Linked DNA regions of Nothobranchius furzeri. The protein of the gene in region 2 interacts with the protein of the main gene of each other region in a biochemical or structural test. Links are inferred from orthologs where the notes say so. Each region holds a gene or a part of one and is shown on either strand. Other genes may lie near its edges.

What was found.
Region 1: the proteins of sirt1 (region 2) and rps19bp1 form a complex in vitro, tested with the Homo sapiens proteins (2 studies listed by BioGRID and IntAct). The link is inferred for Nothobranchius furzeri from reciprocal best matches to the Homo sapiens genes SIRT1 and RPS19BP1.

The regions. Positions count from the first base shown.
Region 1 is NC_091746.1:76,506,153-76,509,824, reverse strand, and holds rps19bp1 (active regulator of SIRT1), read right to left. Parts: upstream 2,953-3,672; 5' UTR 2,825-2,952; coding exon 2,770-2,824; intron 2,163-2,769; coding exon 1,986-2,162; intron 1,543-1,985; coding exon 1,445-1,542; intron 1,232-1,444; coding exon 1,082-1,231; 3' UTR 311-1,081; downstream 1-310. UniProt on the Homo sapiens protein: Part of the small subunit (SSU) processome, first precursor of the small eukaryotic ribosomal subunit.
Region 2 is NC_091752.1:5,646,256-5,649,200, forward strand, and holds the end of sirt1 (NAD-dependent protein deacetylase sirtuin-1), read right to left. Parts: coding exon 2,931-2,945; intron 1,880-2,930; coding exon 1,696-1,879; intron 1,597-1,695; coding exon 1,084-1,596; intron 919-1,083; coding exon 626-918; 3' UTR 617-625; downstream 1-616. UniProt on the Homo sapiens protein: NAD-dependent protein deacetylase that links transcriptional regulation directly to intracellular energetics and participates in the coordination of several separated cellular functions such as cell cycle, response to DNA damage, metabolism, apoptosis and autophagy.

The DNA of each region.
Region 1 (3,672 bases), on a different chromosome or scaffold from region 2:
TCCCGGAGGAGCTGGCCAAGTGGCTGGGGAGAGGGAAGTCTGGGCCTCTCGCCTTAGGCTACCGCCCCCGCAACCCGACTCTGGATAAGCAGATGAAAATGGAAATGCAATATCTCACCTGTTAACTTTCATGTTGTGGAGCAGAAAAAGAGCATACAATCAAAATATTTAAAGCTCAGTTTACTCCACTGATTCACTGTGATGCTCACCTGCAGGGCCGGATTATCACTGCAGCGGCCCCAGGGCACAATGTGTTCTTTAATTAGGAAACACTCATGAGAAACTGTTTTAAATATTTTAAAGGCAGATGGACTTTTCTCATCCTCCACAACATTTATTTAAAAACAAAATCAAAACATCCGAAAGGTCCTATGAGACAGAATGTTTTATACTAGTGGAGATTAAATGTGATTTTTCAGAAAGGCTGCTGGTTAAACCTGTCATCTTTCAATTCATTACAAAAAGCATCATTCCATACTCTTTACAAAGTACAGACAAAGGTTTATTTCTAGAAAGCATGAGTTGTGTGAAATTCCAGGAAGATACATGGTATTAATTTTACATCCCTTTTAATAACAGCTGGATTAAACAATGTGAAACATCTGTCCATGCTTTACAACAATAGCTTTTCATTGAGCTTGTATGAAAAGAGCAGAAGGATCATGGCGACGCAACAAGTCAATCTGAACTGTATGACGCGGTAAACTGAAGTTAATTTAATCTTTTGAGTCAATCATTCAGTTTATTCAAAAGCACAAACAACAAAGTGGATTTTTCCCTGAAAAGATACATTATTTCCAACGTTCCAACCATAAATCTAAACATTTGACTTCCCCAAAATGTGGCCAGATGAAAACAAGCATAAAATAGTTCAACAGACATTTTCTGCAAAGTTGAGTATAAGAAAAAGGTGACAGTTACTCAGTAGGCCTTATATGAACCCTTAACTATAGTCTGTATGTCTTTTACAAAACAGAACGGTTTTCCTGTGTGGTGAAGTGGGAATGACTTCCAGAGTCATCCATATAATCCACGTGACACTGTCCTCCTGCTCTGGCTGCAGCGGCTCTTATGTTCGCTATCATTTCCTCTTCTCAACAGTTCTGCCAAAGTATTCCTTCTGGAACTCCTCGAACTCCTCCTCCGTGAACACAGACTGGGTCTCTTTGGCCTTTTTGACGGGTTTGTCGGTGCAATTCCTTGACTGCCTTCCTAAATTGTGGCTCAAAATCTAAATTAGACAGAAATCAGGTCAAAAATGTAACAAATCTACAAGTCACACTGGCTCAATTAAATTATTTAAGATACTTAGATCACTGTTTAAGAATGACATCTTAAAACTTAAAAGCACTGCGTCCGATGCTAAAAGACGTGCTTACAATATTAGCGATGATAATTAAGAAAGTCAACATGGATGGTATGTCAAAAGTAAACCCTTCTTTACCTTTAATGTATCAGATTCTGTTGCTTTGCTGCTGGTTGTTGTAAAGTACTTCAGGTTGGCACTCATCTGGCTCTGACCCTGCTTCTTTCGGAACTCCTCTGCAAAAAAAATAAATAAATAAATAAATAAATAAATAATTAAATAAATAAATAATAAAAAAGAGACATTATATGTCATGTTCATTAAGCTTAAGCATCTAAAGATGTGGCCAAGGCTTTGAGTTTCTTGATTTTATGCACTTCTTTTAAATTTAGTTAACACAAATAATTTGACACAAGTACTTAACATCTTCAGAAAACAGTTAAGATGTTACACACAAACACAATAGAGCTAGCAGGGGAGAAAATGACACAGCAAAACAAATAAATAAATTAAAAAACACATAGGACTTCCATACTTCCGTGTAAACATGCATAGCTTCTGAGGCTCCTGCTCTTCTCTGGACTTTAAAATCAAGGTGTCCCTGTGCCATTTGTGTGTTTTGATAGTGATTTAGGAGCAGATATGATCCATATCTACACAATTAAAAGGGTTTCCGTACCGACTGCTGATTTGATCCTCTTGTCTTTGACTGTGGCTTTACTCTTTCCAGACCCGTGGCGACCCTGCAGCCTCTTGACCTGCTTGGTGACCCCCTGCCTCTTGGTGCTCACCAGCTCCATCACTGCAGCTGAGCTGGGGGTCTGCTCCTTCTTTTTCTTCTTCCCTTTACCACCATCTGGGAAAATAAAAATGAAAGGAAGAGAATACCCAAGTTTATAAAAATGTTGCACAAATTCAGGTGATTCTAATGTAAACAGCACTTTTGTGACAATAGTAGAGAAGCAATGATTTGCCTAGTCTTTAAAATAACAAGTCTCTTTGGTGCAAATGTTCACGTTTTACTTCTGATTCTTTACACTGAAAGTTTGGTTTGATTGTCCCTAAACTCTCAATATTTGCCATTAGTCTTTTAATTATTCAGCCTTTTTTAAAATAAGTTCTCTGATCATAAGACATGTTTCACTTCTTAGTAGTTAGCAGAAGAAATTCCTAGTTTGATGCGCAAATTATTTTAAATAAATCCCCAAAGTGCAAAAATACATAATCTCCACAATTATTTTGCGGCACATTTTCTCAGGTGAAGTAGCAGTAATGAAGGAAGTAATGAGCAGTTTATTTATTATTTAAATTATTTTTGAACAAACTCATAAAAAGACTCGGCAAAAAGTGAAGCTTTTTTTCTTTTGCTTTCCTCGTGCTTCGTTTTAACCCTAAAAAGCATAACATCACAGACGTCACCGCCTTTGACCGTCATTAAAACAAGCTAACAGGCTAGAACTGACCTTTAATATCTTCGTTCAGCAGCTCCAATCCTCTCCTTACCAATGACAGCGACATACTCTGTAATATCAACAATTTATCCGGTAAAAATCTATATTTAAAGTCCTCAAAACCTCAAGAGGAGCGTGTAAAAAAGGATAACATCCGGTTCGATGTGTGCACCGACTGAAAGACTTCCCCGGAAAACAATTTACAATACACAAAGTTCCCACTTTACAATAATAATAATAATAATAATAATAATAATAATAATAATAATAATAATAATAATAATAATAATAATAATAATAATAATAACTAAACTAACCGTGTGAAAATGGCATTGTAAATAATTTTTGAGTACTTTTTGAGAAAGCTGAAACAAGAAAGAATGGATTATGTGCCGAGTTGATGATGCAAAAGTCCTGGATTTACAGATTTCTGGGACCAGTGTGACGCGCTATAATGACTGACTGAACGTTTGTGTGCTTTTTATGTTTATAGCTTTCTGATTCACAAAAGAACGCAGAAAGATTCCGATTTGAATTAGCCTACTTGGTGCACCTCAGTATTCCTGTGTGGGTTCTACTTGCACATCAGCATACAATTAATAGTTAAACAGGCTTTTACCATCAATGGGACTGTAAAGATGTTAGAAAAGGGATCTCTTCACCTTGCTTTTATTTTATTTGACTTGGCTACACACTTTATATAAACCACCACATTTATCTTTAGATTTTAATATTTAGGTTAATCTTTATATATTGAAATCTGCATTTAATGAAATGTGAAAAATAACACAATTTAGTGTTTTATTGTACTCTCTTATAATTAGCACCCCATAATGTACAGCTCTTTTACCACTTTTTATTATTTTAATACTTTGCTCTAATATTTGATCACTTATTGAGGTTTTAAAAACATCA
Region 2 (2,945 bases):
TCAAGTACGACTTTGTACAAATATAAACAAGCATATACCCTTTGACAAGCATGTCTCACACCCAAATATAAAATATGAGGCTTCACCAGGAAAGTAGCTGCCTGATGTCAGGAGGATCACAAAGTACATTTAAAAACTTAAGACGAATAAAAAAAAAAGCTTTTTCCAGAAACAGAAGTATGCAGATGTTGAGCTCTTTGGTCTGAAATAAAACCATCTTTCTGCAGTTTTTCACTCAAGGAGTAGAACTAAATTTGCATGCGCAAAAATAAAATCTGTCTCAGACTCGTTAACCTCTTCAATCTTCAGATTTTAAAATGTAATGATTCCTAAGCGACCAAGTCCAAAACAGCCGACGCCACGCCGGTGTTTCAGGGTGTTTAATGTTGCATTTCTGGTACGCAACAATGGCTGCAACAGCAAAGGGAACTAAAGTAGAAAAGTAACTAGTGGGTTTAAGCACAGTGAGTGTGAAAACAGAGCAAACCTGAAAGACAAAAGTCTTGCTGCAAACACACACTTCAACTTTATGATAAACAGGAAGTAGATGACTCAAAAATATATATGAAACCTATTTATATGTACACTCTAAAAAAGAATTAGTGCTTTGTAAAATGGAGTCTTATTACGCTTGATTCGTGGCACTGTGAGCTTTTTCAGAAGAACTGTCGATCTGCACACTTGACTCTTCCTCATTGGCTGAATTTCGAAACATGTCTTTGATGCGTGTTTCTCCGTCCGCCGCCGCCGCTTCACTGACGTCCTCTGGGTCGCTGTCATCCTCCACCCCACCAGGACTGCATTCTGACTCATCACTGTCGCTACCGCAGGAGCTCGACGTCTCCTCTTCGGAGTCCGAGTAGACTTCGGCGCCGTGGAAGAGGTAGCGGTTAGGTGACTGAAACAAGTACTGGCCCGCTGTGGAAAACAACAGAGCATCTATGAAACACGGCTCGTTTGTCTTTGACACGTCTGCTGAAATAGTTGTGGTGTGATCACGTGAAGGAATACATGCAGAGGAAAGACGGAACACATTTGAACAAATGACATGTAACTGGTATAAATTAGCTTAGCTTAGCTTACGGTTGAGGCGTTTGCTTATTGGACTCCTGCTGATTCTGCTCACCCAGTACCGTTTACGATAATCAAAGCTGGAGTTTTGGCTTTTAAAATCACCCATCTCCACTTTTGGTAACTCCGGAGACTTCGCACCGTCCTCACTTGGACACTGCACATTCGAACAAGGCTCCAAAGGTGTAATGTTCTTATCGGCAGTTTCTGTAACAGTCAGACTTTCTGCCTCCTCTGAAGGCTTGTTTACAGAGTCCGTACGCGACGGCTCGTTCTGCTGCTGAGCCGCATCACTGAAAGCAGGCAAGGCCTCACTTGGTCGTGGTTCTTGTAACCGAGGGGGCTTCTCTGTGATCTCGTTGAGTCTTAAAGTGTTAAAGCAGAGCTGCTCAAAGTCTCCACTCAACCGGTGACAGAGCTCATTGATGATACCGTCACAGTCTCCGAGTAGCTCCACGTCAAAGTTCAGATGAGGCAGCGGCTCCCTGTTGATCAGAACCTGAGGCACTTCGTGAGGAATGGAATCTGAGAGAAATGGAAAGCCATGGTGTTATTGGTGGAGTTTACCTCAAACACAACAGAGGAGTGGCAAGTATCTAGAAGCACGTTCACTTGAAATCATACTCGGTATGAGGGCCACTGGTCGGACTTTGAGCGAAGAGCCAATTACAATCAAGAGGTCCACCTCATCTTTGTCCTGCTTCATGGCTCTGTGGAACATTTCTGGTAGGTTCTCTCCAAAAAAGACGATGTCAGGTTTCATGATTGCCAGAGGAATATCCGGACACCTCAGACAACGAGGAACAACCTGCAGGACGACGTTGCATTAGAGAGGAACATGTCGCAGAAGCACGCTCTGTCATTTATTTAAACCGATACACTTCCTGAAGTAGATTCTAGTATGAACCCTGAATTAGTCCCAACACCAAACACCCTTTTTACATCAGTCTTTCGCACGGACTCGTTAGGCGGATGTTGTGAAAGTTAATTTATCCAAAGTTTCTTTGAACATCACATAAAACCAGTCTGAAGATTTCAAAATATTCTAACAACAAAGCTTGGAAAAGCCAAACCCGACAATGGAAACAACGCTAACCCCGGGTTTCCACGGGAGCCGTCAGCAGCACGTTACTGCAGCAGCACGTCTCGCTCGCGCAAGCTGCTGCTTGGCCCTTCCCACGAGACGCGAAGCAGCAGGGGAGCAGCTGTCACCGACAGAGCACGAAGTCACACGAGTGACTTCGTCAGTAAACACACCAACAAGCAGGAGAAAACTATAACATGGTTTATGTTCTGTCCTTTTATAATCGCCAATACGGACCTGAAAAACAAAGGAGACCGCTAGCTAGGTGATAACTTCTCACGGGGACGCACAGTTAGTAACATTTTTTAAAAGTAAAGCAACTGGAAGGCAGTACGTTCTTTATTCTGAGAATCTCGGGAGCTTCTCTCCATTTCCGCGTCCCATTTCCTGTCTTTCCTTCCCCAAAAATGTCGAACTTGACCCGTTTCAGAGGCGTCGCGCGTAGAAAATAGAACCGGCGCGTAAGGGCCGCGACATGCTGCTCCTGAGACGCGGCCGACTCGCGCTGCTGACGGCTCCGGTGGAAAAGGTTCTGTTGACCACAGCGGTTCCTATCAGCAGCTATGACGTGCTGCTGACGGCTCCCGTGGAAAGCCGGGGTTAGGAGAGTATACTGTGAAATTAGTTACATGTATACGTTATGACTTGACATTTATCAACCAACGTCCTCACCAACCCGAACCCCTCCAAAGACATTTTAGTTTCTCATTATGGTTACAGGTGTAAAAAAACAGCAGCAGCGATCAACGTTCTGTTGGTCCAGTTTAAAATGTACCTGATTAAAGACATC